Astyanax mexicanus: one gene and its partner. The protein of the gene in region 1 purifies or fractionates together with the protein of each later gene. This does not show direct contact. Links are inferred from orthologs where the notes say so. Each region holds a gene or a part of one and is shown in the gene's direction. Other genes may lie near its edges.

Region 1 (7,373 bases):
TCTGGAATAAATCTGAACAGGTTGGAATAATCTGGAATAAATCTGAACAGGTTGCAATAATCTGGAATAAATCTGAACAGGTCGGAATAATCTTTAATAAATCGAAACAGGTTGGAATAAGCAGGAATATATATGAACACGCTGAAATAATCAGGAATAAATCTAAACAGATCGGAATAATCTGGAATAAAATTGAACAGGCTGAAATAATCTGGAATAAATCTAAACAGGTGGGAATAATCTGGAATAAAATTGCACAGGCCAAAATAATCTACAATAAATCTGAACATGGCAAAATATTCCAGAATAAATCTGAACAGGTTGGAATAATCTGGAATAAATATGAACAGGGCAGAATAATCCCAGAATCAATATGAACAGGTTGGAATAATCTGGAATACATCTGAACAGGTTGGAATAATCTGGAATAAATCTGAACAGATTGAATAATCTGGAATAAATTTGAACAGAACAGAATAATCTGGAAAAAAATCTGAACAGAACAGAATAATCTGGAATAAATTTAAACAGAACAGAATAATCTGGAATAAATCTGAACAGGACAGAATAATCTGGAATAAATCTAAACAGGTTGGAAAACTGACTTTAATTCAAGAATAATTCAGGTCCAAAGTTCACGGTCATGCTGTTACACTTTATACACTCTCTGACCTCACTGACCCCTGAGTGTGTGTGAGTGTGTGTGAGTGAGTGTGTGTGAGTGTGTGTGTGTACCTCATACTGGATGTACTGTTTCCTCCACTCGGGGGTGATGTGGGCTGAAAGGTGCTCAGCGAACTTCATCCTGAAGATCCGATCACTCCCTCACCCCCCGCACACTCTCTCACCCCTCAACACACTCCACACACACTAAAGCTCCGGGATAATCTCTGCCGTGTGTTTGTCCGCGCGCTTATCACGCTGTCAGAGGCATATCCGCGAGCCCGAGTAAACAAACTCAGTCCGAGAGAAAGAGAGAGAGGGAGAGTTACACAGACTGAAAGAGAGAGAGTCTGACTGAAGAACTGCGACTGAATCTGCTGTAACCCACTCACTGCCCCGCCCTCCTCAACAGGCCCCGCCCCCTCTCTCATTCTGCCCCTCCCTCCTCCCCTGCGGCGTACACCGGCCTGCGTCATGACGCACAGACGCGCTGCCGTTTATTTAAATTTAACATAGCACCAAATATAGCAAAAAATAAATAAATACAGATAAAAAATAAAAATAAATAAAATAAAATAATAATAATAATATGTTAAAATGTTACAGCTACTTCATAACATGAAAAAATAATTAATTAAATATTCTACAACTATTACAAATTACTACTATTAATTTAAAAAATAAAAAAATAAAACTACTACTATACAGTGAACTTGCCTACATTATTAGTATTGAATTTTAAAAAAGGTTGATTTAATTACTATTACTACTAAAATATTAATAACAGTTTAATACATATGTTGTATTTCACAGATTTCACAGCTGAGGCTGTCACAAAGCACGCATAGGAAAAATTATAATATACCAAAAATTAATAACAAGGACAACAATAATAAAGAAAATAAAAAAAACAATTCATAATTGATTAAACCATCAACTACTCAATTACTATGACTATTACAACCTTACACATATACTACTACAACTACTACTACTACTTCTATTACAACAGCTACAACTAAAACCATAACAACTACTATTACAACTACTACTTCTACTACTATTGCTACTACTGCTACTACTATTGCTAATTATATTACTACACCTACTACTGCTGCAACAACTACAAATACTACTAGCACTACAGCAGCCTGGTTCATTCTGAGAACTCTTTTTTATGCCACTGATAAAAATGGTAAACATATAATGATACAATTAATTCAAATAGCAATTAACTTGTAATTATTGGCATACATATTTGTACACTGTAATTAAAACAAATATCGTAATAAGTAGGTGCTTAAAAATTGTAAGTAAATAAGACATAAGCAAAATTATTTAATTTATGTTAATAGGCTCTCATGCCTAAAAAGGATGCTGAGGTTAGCAAAACCATTGAAGTCATGTGGATATATTATATAATAATGGGATGAGTTATATTTGTGAGAGTGTGAGACAATCCAGTAGCAACATCAGTCTCCATCATTAGTCAGACAGGACCGGATAAAATCAGCCGAACCTGAAATCCTTGAAAGAGTAACACTCAGTATCTACAATGAATTATTCAGAAGTTATTCAGTATGAAATATGTCTTTAATTTATTTATTAACACGCTCCTGAAAGCACTGTGTTAAACATAGGGATAAAAGAAAGGTTGGAAAATAGTCGTGTGAGTTTTTTCCTCTGAAGAAGCAAACAGTCAGCACTCTGTGTGTGTAAAACGCACGGACACAGCGCCACCCTGCGGGCTCAGCCAGTAATGCAACTTTATTATTCAACATAAATAAACACTGTACTAATTTATGGGCAAACAAAATATTAAATATAATTAATGTTTTTCTTGTGGTAATTAAAGTAAACAAAACAAGCAGCAAAAAAGCAGCAAATGTTGTTCAGCACCTCCAGGAACACCTTTAAGACACTGAGAAAACTATTCCAGGTAGTTTTCACCTAGAGTGTGCAGATCTGTACTCAAAGATAAATGTGATGCTTAAAATAATCTAAAATATAAAACATAATTTGGTTTGTTTAACACTTTTTAATTCACAAAAACTGAACTGTATAACTTTATAATGTAAAACATCACTATTTTTAAATAACTACAATTAAAAATAATTCATCCTTTATTTTATAAAATTCCAAACTATGTAAATCTTGGGAACATAAAAATAAAGCTCGGCTTTGATTGGTTAGAAGCTCGTCCCAGAATGACGCATACAGGTAAAAATGCATAAAATGCTTTCTTTATATGACAGAGTTTAAACAAACAAACAAACAAACAAACAAAATAGATAGACATTAGAAGATATTAGATATTAGAATAACAGATAATTGAAGAAAAAAATAGAAAAATAAAGCTCGCCCCTGATTGGTCAGAAGCTCGTGGTCTTCGAGAGCTTGCTCCTCTCTGATTGGCCCAGGTCATGCTCGCTGCGAAACAGCACGCGCTGTGTTTAATAAAACTCAGATTTAAGTTATCCAGAGAATCAGTAAAGCCGGATTAATCAGACCGAACTCGAACTCTGTATTCATTCTGTAATCCCGCTCCACCGTTCAGTCCGGGTCAATCCGGAGCATTTACAGCGCCGGACCTGCCCGGACCAATAGGAACCCACTTTTATTTACGCCTGTTTTCCGCCATCTGCAAATCCTGACCTCTTACTGAGTGGCTACTTCGAATAAAATATATATTATAATAACATTAATTACAATATTAAACAAACAACATTAAAATATATATTTTTGTTGGTTTAAGTAGTTATAGATGTTACAGTAAACAATGCAACATAGAGTAAATTATATAATAATTATACTACTACTTACTACTTATTATTTTAATGCTGGTGTGTAAAACAACCAACATAACGTAAAATAAATAAATATGATTAATCCATTTTTTCTGTATATAATTCTATTAATCTCAAAATGGGTTACATAATTATAGAAATAGATTATAACTCAGCATATTTACATTCACTAAATTACATAAAATAAAAAACAGCTCAAATTGATATCATAACAACCACAATCCTATAAATAATCGTGAGTAAAATGCAGAGAAAATAGCGAATAATGAATCAGAAAATACATTAAATAATTCTGTAAATTGTGCAGCAACGTTTCTATTAAAATTAGCACTCTAATACATATTTATTAGGTAACGCATCAAACATCTAATAAATAAATATGATAAACAATCCTTTTTTTATTTTCTTTAAATTGTCCTATTAATCCTATGTTGATGTCAATATGAATAATTCATGACAATTTCTGATATATTTAGTGTAATAGATTATAACTAAGCATAAAGTTTAGTAAACACAAATAAAAATCCAGCCCACAGTTCACACCATAATCACACAATACTGTAAATAATCGAGTATAATGCAGACACAAATCCAGATAATGATTAATTATAAAATACTAAATAATACTAAATAACCCTTTCAAAGGAGCATTAAATAATAAAATACAAACTACATTTGAATGATTCGTGAACTATGTATAGTTCAGTAAATAATGGAGTCAAAATGTTAGTTCTGCAGATTTTACAGTGAACCAGCCAATCAGAACACAGCGGGGCACAATACGGGTGGGGATCTGAGGAGGCCCCGCCCCCGTGACCCGGATGTTGTGTGTGTGAGCGGTGTGTGTGAAGCTGAATGCTGTAGATCAGCAGGTTTATCCCGCAGCGTCGCTGTTTTTACTGTTATTAATAATAATAATTCGCGTATTAGTGCTGCTCCTCTCTGTATCATTACTCTTATTAATAATCCCGCCATGGCCTCGCGCTCGTCCTCGCCGGACTCTGACGGTTCGGAGCTTCAGGAGGAATTCGAGAGTGCAGCGGACCGGGTCAGAGAACTGGTCCAAACAGCACCCAGAGACAAGCTGCTCTACCTGTACGCCAGGTACAAACAGGTGAGAGGAGGGGGAGGGGCTTCTGATTATCCTCATATTAACAACCACATCTGGACACTTTAATAGAAACGTCCCTACCGTGTGCTTACACTTACTGGCCACTTTATTAGAAACACCTATCTGCTTTTACTGACTGGCCACTGTATTAGAAACACCTACTTACTATCTTGTGCTTCCACTCACTGGCCACTTTATGAGAAACACCTACTTACTATCTTGTGCTTCCACTCACTGGCCACTTTATTAGAAACATCTACTTATTACCCTGTGCCTCCACTCACTGGCCACTTTATTAGAAACACCTACTTATTACCTTGTGCTTTCACTTACTGACCCATTTATTAAAAACACCTACTGTACCTTGTGCACCTCTGTGGCCACTTTATTAGAAACACCTACCTGCTTCCACTGACTGGCCACTTTATTAGAAACACCTACTTACTTTTAATGACTGGCCACTTTATTAGAAACACCTACCGGCTCCCACTGACTGGCCACTTTATTAGAAACACCTACTTGCTTTCACTCACTGGCCATTTTATTAGAAAACACCTACCTGCTTCCACTGACTGGCCACTTTATTAGAAACAACTACTTATTTTCAATGACTGGCCACTTTATTAGAAACACCTACTTGCTTCCCCTTACTAGCCACTTTACTAGAAACACCTGCTTGCTTTCACTGACTGGCCACTTTATTAGAAACACCTGCTTGCTTCCACTGACTGGCCACTTTATTAGAAACACGTACCTGCTTCCACTGACTGGCCACTTTACTAGAAACACCTACTTGCTTTCACTTACTGGCCACTTTACTAGAAACACCTACTTGCTTCCACTGACTGGCCACTTTATTAGAAACACCTACTTGCTTTCACTCACTGGCCATTTTTATTAGAAACACCTACTTATTACCTTGTGCCTCCACTCACTGGCCACTTTATAAGACACCCACCTGCTTCCACTCACTGGCCACTTTATTAGAAACACCTACCTGCTTTCACTCACTGGCCATTTTTGTTAGAAACAGTGTATTTCTACTGTAATAACATTTAATAAGAGTAGTACGCTGTAATATAATGCTGTATAATGTTTATTTGTTCTTATAATGTTTATGCTGTTTATTCACCAGGCTAAAGTTGGAAAGTGTGACACACCCAAACCAGGATTCTTCGATTTCGAGGGTCAGAGAAAATGGTGAGTCTCAGCATGTTTACAGACAGTTGATTTAGACAGATAATAATAAATAAATAAACTGCATTACCCTTGTGGTATATTTAGTCACAGTTAATAACATGTTTAATATCTGTCAAGTTTTCTTTGTATTTGCATTTAACTAAATTATACATTAGAAGCATTAAAGAAAAACAGAGATTGTGAGGTGAAGGCGTGTGTTGTGCTGTTATATGAGTCGATCATACACAGCAGTGCTGCTGTAGGTTTTAAACGACTCACCACCCAAATAATAATAATAATAATAATAATAATAATAATAATAATAGCTGCTCTGAGTTGTTTTTCTCTCCTGTGGGGTCTTGAGTATTATGGAACAGGATAAAAGGAGGATAATAATAATAAAGTATGCAGAGAACAGATACAGATCTACAGTCTGTAATTTTAGAACTACACAGTGTCCTATACAGTCAAATGAATAATGTGTATAAAAACTAGTCATCATTTTATGATGTTATTGATCAGTGTGTATATAACTGTTACATCAGAACACAGATTATTTTTGGTCCTCTGTATGATATTATAATGCTAAGAGGTGTGTGTGTGTGTATGTGTGTGTGTTCTGCAGGACGGCGTGGAAGGATCTGGGGGATATGAGTAAAGAACAGGCTATGCAAGAATATGTGTCGTGTGTAAATGAGCTGGATCCAGAAGGGAGCGCTAAGGTACTTTTAAACCCCGCCCTTTCATACAGCACCACTCACACACCTGTCCTGCTCTTAAATGTTGTATATTTTGATAAAAGGAAATAATTTCAGTTGCTGCAGTCAGTATTGACTGCATGTGACCAGCAGATGGCAGTGTCTGACTGTTAGAATCCCTAAGCAACGTTTCCCTTCATTCAGCAAATGTTTTTTTTTTTTTTGATGACCTATGTTCAACACTATTATTAAAAATCAAATAACAGGTGTATTCAGTGGGATCAGTTCTATAAAATGTGTAAATTCCAGTAAGATCATTATTGAACTAAGGGAACTAAATGCTTTTGTATTACCAGTGCTGAACTTTCAAACCTGTTCAGACCTGTGTAGACCTCTGAACTAAACCAAATCATGTTGAATCAGTACTGAACTGACGTCAACTGAATCATTTTGGATCCGTGCTGGATTGAAATTAACTGAATTATATCCAGTAGGATTACTGCTAAACTGAGGAGGATTGAATCATTGCACCGAAGTGAGCTGTATCATTTTGGATCAGCATTAAATTGAATCATATCCAGTAGGATCGGTGCTGAACTTTTAAACCTGTTCAGACCTGTTTAGACCTCTGAACTGAAACAGATCATGTTGGATCAGTATTAAAGTGAAGGTGAACTGAATTGTATCTAGTAGTATCAGATCTAAATTGAAGAGAACTTAATCGTATCATGTAGGATCAGTACTAAACTGAACTGTATCAGTATTGAACTGAAGTAAACTGAATCATTTTAAATCAGTACTGAACTAAAGTGGACTGATTTTGAATGATGATCTGATCTGATCTGAGTCTTGTTGGATCAGCTGAATCGTATGAAACTGAATCTGAATCAAGTCAGACCAGTATTAAACTGAAGT
Region 2 (7,604 bases), on another chromosome or scaffold:
AATGTACACCATATGAGGTTACGAGACCCACATGATGCGACCACAATTCCGTGAATTGAGTTTAAAAGTTTGTTTTACGAGCTATGCTGGCGCTAGGGTGCTAACGCTAGCGAGCTAACACTAGCAAGCTAACGCTAGCAAGCTAACGCTAGCGCCCTAGCGCTAGCATAGCTCGTAATTTACACATTGGTTGGCAGATATGAGTATCCAGATAGACGTAAAATTAAAATGTACACTATTTGAGGTTACGAGACCCACATGATGCGACCGCAATTCCGTGAATTGAGTTTAAAAGCATTTTGTGATTAAAAAAACGCTAATGCTAACTTGGCTAGCTAGCTAACATGAAGCTGACTGGCCAGGTAGATATTTTATTACACAGTGAGGTTTCTCTTACCTAAATTCCCCATACACACGAACCGCTTTTAATAAATTACCAAGTACAGCTTAAATATACATATATTTATGACTAATACTCACCGCACTCTCTGCTTTTCCAAAATAAAATGGCGCTGCTGCTGAAGAGAAGTCCACAGACAGCCACGAATGTCCCGGATGAAGAAAGTAGCCAGCCTGTTGAGTTTACTTCACTGGGATGCGTTCACCAAACATGCACTTATTAATTAAATCAGACAACTTAACTGACTTTCATCACAGCAGTCCAACTGACTCAGGTTTCACTTGCTAACACAAAGCTGTTAAGTAATTTTAATTAAAAATACTTGATTAAAATCAACAACAGGGTGAGTTTATTTTTTTGAGTGCAAACTGAAAGATCAAGCAAGGAGAGCACTGGTCAGAGAAGCAGCCAAGAGGCTCATGGTCACTCTGGAGGAGCTGCAGAAATCCATAAATTAGGTAGCAGAATCTGTATACAGGACAACTATCATAAGTCATTCATTCCACAAATATGGCCTTTATGGAAGAGTGTCAAGAAGAAATCCATTGTTAAAAGAAATGTATGAATTGCTGTTTGCAGTTGTGGCAAACGTGAAAGAAGGTGCTGTGGTCAGATGAGACCAATGTTGAACTTTCTGGCCTAATTGCAAAGCACTATATGTGGAGGAAAAGTAACACTGCTCCTCACCCTGAACACATCATCCCCACTGTGAAACATGGTGTGGTGGCAGCTTCATGCTCTGGGGATGCTTTTCTTCAGCAGGGACAGAGAGAGGGTCAGAGTTAATGGGAAGATGGATGGGGCTAAATACAGGGCAATCCTGTAAGAAAACTTGTTGAAGGCAACAAAAGACTTGAGACTGGTAAGGAGATTCACCTTCCAGCAAGACAATGACCCTAAACATACAGCTGGAGATACAGTGGTTTAGATCAAATAATATTCATCTGTTGGAATGGTCCAGTCGCATTGAGCATCTGTGGCGAGACATGAAAACTACTGTTCACAGACACTCTCCATCCAACTTGGCTGAGCTTGAGCTGTTTTATAAAGAGAAATAGGGCTAAAATCTCAGTCTCTAGATGCACAAAGCTGATAGAGACAAACCCCAAAGCACTTATAGTTGTAGTTGCACTGAAAGGTGGCTCTACTAAGTATTGGGGGGCTGAATGCTTTTCAGATGTTTATTTGATCAAAATTTTGAAAACCATGTATGTTTTTCGTTCCACTTTACACTTATGCAATACTTTGTGTTTGTCTATCGCTTAAAATCTCAATAAAATACATTTAAGTTTGAGGCTGTAACGTGACAAAATGTGGAAAAGTTCAAGGGGTATACTTTTGCAAGACACTGTATTTATGATAAAGGTTCTGTTACACGTATCACAGCGTATCAAGGGGTCTCAGTCTTTCTCTTTGAGGACAGAGGTCCTAAATATTCCTGAGCTGGAGGATGCCAACAGCAGCGATGGTCCCAGTCTAATGGAAACAAGTGAGGAGGTTGCGACGACTTCTCTAGCTGGAGCCCACTTTGAATGTCTTTTGAATAATTGTCAGAAATATTTTGTAATTTAATCTTTGTCATTTTGTTCACCAACCATTTCTTATCTTACCTTATTTACTTTTTGCCATTTTGTGTAAGTAATGTATAGATAATGGTCTGTAATTAATTATTCAATGACATCTATGTGAACAGTGTAAAGCTCTTTGATTATGCATTTATTGTGAAGTGATCGATTTCTGTTTTTTTTTCTTTTTTCAGACGCACCATTCCATTGTTCCATTTGAATGCTATTTTCAGATAAAGAAATGCAGCACATGCTCATTGCCCAGTATGCCCAAAGTTTAAACCAGCAAAACGATACAGACAACAAGCCACCTAGATGTGCATTTAAAGAATTCAGTCTCCTTTCAAAGTTAAGTTTATTTATGTAAAGATGAATCACACATGTTAAGCATTCATGACATGCTTAACAAAAACTGGTGTTTTATTTACAGAGTTCAGGATATGCAGACGTAATTTGGACTGTAGGATGACTAGACTACCACTGCCCTCAATGCCAAGATGCTTTTAAGAAGATCATCTGAAACAGTGCATAGGGTTAAATGGAGGTCAAACGTTGGGACATGTGAAGTGCAGCAGGTCAGACCCTCCTCTCTTCATCAGAAGCTTGGACATGCTCACCCTCTAGGTCAAAAAAACGAGCCTGCTTGTCCACCCTCTCTAAAAACTGAACCTGCTCACCAGCCTATTCAAAAGCTCGATCTTCGCATGCTTTAGGCCAATGTAGACTTTTAGTCATGGAGGAGGAGGAGGAGGAAGTGGCAGAGGAACTGCAGCAGTTTCATTCTTCAAACCAGCAAATGCTCCCAGAGAGAGTACTGTCCCCATTCATTTTTTTGTTAAAAAAGAAATGGATGACATGCAGTGGTTCTTAGACCACTGCCAGAATCTAAACATATATTGTTCCCTGTGGAATGTTAAAAAAAAAAAAAAAAAAGTTAATTTGACAAACTGTGTCTTATGTTTCATGTCGATTTCTTTCTCTGTCTGCTTTCTTTCTTGAACATCAGGTTGTACCACAGAACTGTATCTAGTTGGATTCAGAGTCTATTGATTAAAATAACCCCTTTAAACAAAATGTATTTGGAACACTGGTTAATAGCCACACTAGTAAGCATTATACTAAGTTTGTGTTGGTTTTCATATGTCCCAGATAGCAAAGAACATTTTGATTAACATTGAGTTATGGTTGCATTACACCTTTAATGTTGATGAAAAAACAACCTTTTATTTAACATACCCTTAGAGGCATTTGTTAGTGGTAAAATTCAGACTTTGAGTCAATGTTTATTAAAGGCTTTGAGTAGTTGGGACTCTTCTACACTCACAATGCTTTTAGACAAATTGTGCTCCCCTAAATATGTCATTTATGATATTTATTTAAATGGCCCTTTATACACCAGAATATCAGTACAAGGTATAATAATTATGAAAATACATATTTAATACAAACAACACATATAAAACCATAATGTTGAATAAATAAAAAGTGATATGCACTAATGTTTTGATTAAGACAAGGATAAAATGAATATTGATTTAACAAACTTTTGCTACCTGCAATAACTACAAGACAATCAAAAATACAACACACTTTAGAGATAAGCCGTTTATTCATATTAAGAGCCCTACTCTGTTTTCTGGTTGTATTGTATCAGTAGATACAATGTGCACAACTGTTATCAATTATACATGCTGGCCAATGTCAGGACTGTTATCATTTGTATAATCGCACAACACACTAAGGATGTAAAAACTATTATAAGCCTTCAGAAGTGTAAAATCTAATCTACCACCTACAAAAACTGTTACACACATCCTTGCATGGCCAAGCTCACGTCCACACTTAATTTCATTGGCCACTACAGGGTTAAGGGTGCAGGTGCACTGTGAAGCTCCTGTTGCACACAGACAGTCTTGCAATCTTCTGGTGCTTGCTCATGAACAAGTCTCCCTGGGTTGAGAGAGGAAGAGAAGGGTTAGGAGGGAGTAAAACACATTTACTAGGGAAACCCAACTCTTCTGGAGGTTTAGGGGGCTGCTGATGTGGGCCTCGAGCTGAAAACATCTTTTTGCCCAAATGTTTTACAGTCAATTACATAGAATGCATGTGGGGAAACCTGCACGAAATATTACATACTACAATTTACTGCATGGATATTTTATTCACAAATAGGAGCTGATAAACACAAATTGGATAATGGACACAAGTAAAAATGCATATGATATAATATTTAAATTGGAAGAACCGATTCAAAAGATTAAAAGGGACAATCTGTTAGTTTACTGACAGGGCCTCAAATAATGTTGCTATAGGGTGTGGCTAAGTTGATGGGGCTGCCGTTGTCAAGGGGCGTGTTAAAAAAAATGAATGTTCAAAAATATAGTTTTTTATATAACAAGTATTTAGATAACAAATTACGTCCTTTCCAAAATTAATTGACCAAAAGTCCCCTTTCTGTATTTATTTCTTTAACGTTCTTCCTCGTGTGTTGCTATGAACTACATTGACCATAAGGCTGTGTGACAGTGGGCGTGTTCGGACTTTTACAAGACCAGTCCCTCATTTCCTGGTTAAACATGGCGGATGAGAATGAGACAGCACCGAAGCCGGAGAAAAAAGAGGAGCTAGAAGAGGACCACGGACACTGCAGCGACTGCGAAAATGAAGAGCACCATTTTGACGACGGGTAAGCGATGCAAACTCTGCTGCTGCTGCGGTTAGAGATTTAAAACAGTCGTGGTCCGCAGCCTTAAATGCTCGGCCGTCATACGGCTGGGTCAGTGGAAGCCAAAGGAACGGGAGTCATAGGAACCCGCCCATTGGACGGTTGGGATTGGTCTGTTTGTTTGATTGACAATGCGTTCTACGCTGTAATTGGAGCATACGGGTGGGTTGTGAGGAGATGGGCGGGACTTAAAACCTCGTTTCTTTAGTTCTGCTGCTCAAAGCTAAGCTGCTTCTCTGTGTTGAAAGCTCAGCGCTGCTATACTGTCATTTCTAACCACGTTTTTTAGTTTCTGGGACATAATAGTATAAATATTACTTTATTTAACATTTGGCTACAATGTTCGTACTAGCTAGATGTTTATATTGATGCCTGGGTTGTTTAAATGGGCTAAATGTTGAGCTTACTGGCACATGAACCACCCTGAGCGATTGGGTTCCTAGGTTAACACTCAGGTTAGTTAGCTAGCTAGCAAGTTATCTAGCTAACTAACCTGGGTAACTAAACGAGCTGGCTAATATAATAACCAACTGTTACTTTGTAAAATAACCTAGATGGCCATATAAGTAAATATCCAGCTATTATATCCATCTTGTTCTAAATAGCTAGCTATAGCATTTAAGCTGTAGGTTAGTAATGGATAAAGCAGGTCGCTAGCTAGCTAAGTTAGCTTTAGCTAACTAGAACAGAAATCATATAGAGGCCTCCCTGTCCTTGCTAACAGCTAGCTAACTAGACCAGACTAGCCAGCATGTCTGTAGCTAGCAGCCTTCTAGCTAGCTTTAATCAGTTTAATCTACATTTTTAAATTCTTTCTCAGAATTTCTTTCTACATTTAGGCGTCATTTCTAAGGTATTCCACGTTAGGTTACATTTATAAATGTAGTGACATTTCAGAAGGTGAACACCTGTTTTGGCCAAATGTATTTGTGTATGCTGGGAGGCAAAGTTAGTTAGCTAACGATAACACATATTTATAAACCTGTCCAGAATGTAACTTAGTTAGCTACATTGCAATTTGTTTATTTAGCTGGTATAGTTAGCTACGTTTTAAGCCTTAAAAGTTAGCATAGCGCAGCACAGCTGGGAAATTACCTATGCTTTATTATGTCACATAAAACCAAACCAAAGACGTAACTTACAGCCAACAAAACAAAATCACCAAATACTGAAAGCAAGACACCATGATTTGCCCGTATACTGCTAGTTAGCTACTAGCTAGAAACTGTTAGGTTAGATTTTCTAGGTTTGCTTGGTACTGTAGCTACATACACAGAATAGGACAGAGCTATTGTTCTCTATATCTACAGATATAGCCCTCAAACTGGAAAACATTAGATAATAAGAAAATGCTTTAGGCCACAAATGAGTACACAATAAAGTGCTGTGTGTGCTTTGGCAGCAGATATGGATATGAATATGGTGAAACGTGCTTCATATCAGGCAAACAACAATTTATTTCGCTTTCACTTTCAACATTATAACCTAATTCCCCTAGGGTAATTCAGGGAGGTTTTGTTCAACCTGTCTTTCATATTTTTTATGTGTTCCCTCATCTTTTCATCTGTTCAATGTTTTAATATAGTTGCTGTTAATTGTTATTTTTCTTTCATATATCAAGTTCCACCTTCTTTTATCATTTATATAATTCTTTCAAGTGAACCCTGCTGTAATCAGGTATTTGCTTTGTAAGTGACAAAGCTTAAAGAGCTGCTGATTGCTTTGTGGTTGTGCTGTTCACATAAGTGCATCATTTTTGTGGGTAGCCTTAAATTTGGGATTGGTATGAGTACGGTAAAATTAATTTTATATTAATATAATAAAGAACTATTTGGATATTAGCTTTACTAAAGACAGACTCTTATAGTGTAGGTCCTTTGCCAGGAAAGTCCAATTGGCCAGCAAATGGCCAATTCGGCTGCAGGTTTTCATTCTAAACAACCAGCAGCACATCTGATTCCACTGGTTTAACCAATTGGTCAGTCTTCAAACAACGAATGACATGTGCTTCTGCTTGGCTGTCCTAAAAACCCTGCAGCCAAACTGATTTTTGCATATAAAATTTTAACAAGCAATATAGAAGAACCACCTTTGGTTCCATAAATGTAAATGTAATTATTTATTCTTATTTTTAATACACTATACAATATATGCCAAATGTCATAGGACCGTAACTAGTATCATCAAATCCAGTGACTTTTTTTTCATGTCCTATGGAAGCTAAAAAAAAAAAAAATCATTACTGGGACTCGTGGATTTGAGGAATTTAAAATGGCTACAAAACTTGGAACATAGAAATGGCATATCATAATTCGCCTTATCCTATGCCCACGCCTCCCACATCACGTCACATCACATGACACAGACAGCAGCAGTTGTTTTTGGTCCACCAAGCCTCATGGTTCTGCCCACAAAGTCTGCTGAGCGACAGAGAATCGTGGACACACAAACGCAAATGTGTAAACATGGGCAGCGGTGTAGGTAAATTGTTAGGATTAATGAAATGGTCCAATTAAATTTAATGTATGGACATGTTTTCTACAGTTTAGAAGCCAAATTAATTTGCTGTGGATATACTTTTTAGGATGTCAAACATGCTAGACTCTTCCAGTTCAGATTTACACTCAAACCTTCTATGTGCTAGTGCTATGTCTTCACCTCACTGGTGTTGGAGTCCTAATGAGTGGGTTGGGTAATTGGCCTTGTAAAAAAAAAAAAAACTATTAAAGTTTTAATAATGGTAATACATATTGTAAAATCACAATTCCAACCTCCTTAAATTAAACTAATTCTATCCAAACAGTAGGCGTGCTTAGTAAGATGTCTGAATTAGAATATTTTGCTGGATATTTAGTGCATGCATGTAACCTGGAAACATGTACACATTTAAGAAAAATAACCTTAAAGCTTAACA

The links. Proteins that work in one complex are often made in the same cells at the same time.
Region 2: the proteins of acbd6 (region 1) and nmt1a purify together in Homo sapiens (co-immunoprecipitation; 3 studies listed by BioGRID and IntAct, with this or other methods). This does not show direct contact. The link is inferred for Astyanax mexicanus from reciprocal best matches to the Homo sapiens genes ACBD6 and NMT1.

The regions. Positions count from the first base shown.
Region 1 is NC_064419.1:9,253,704-9,261,076, forward strand, and holds the start of acbd6 (acyl-CoA-binding domain-containing protein 6), read left to right. Parts: upstream 1-4,292; 5' UTR 4,293-4,443; coding exon 4,444-4,584; intron 4,585-5,716; coding exon 5,717-5,781; intron 5,782-6,385; coding exon 6,386-6,482; intron 6,483-7,373. Other genes in the region: xpr1a (xenotropic and polytropic retrovirus receptor 1a), read right to left, coding at 736-804. UniProt on the Homo sapiens protein: Binds long-chain acyl-coenzyme A molecules with a strong preference for unsaturated C18:1-CoA, lower affinity for unsaturated C20:4-CoA, and very weak affinity for saturated C16:0-CoA. Does not bind fatty acids. Plays a role in protein N-myristoylation.
Region 2 is NC_064426.1:25,287,179-25,294,782, reverse strand, and holds the start of nmt1a (glycylpeptide N-tetradecanoyltransferase 1), read left to right. Parts: upstream 1-4,516; 5' UTR 4,517-4,541; coding exon 4,542-4,651; intron 4,652-7,604.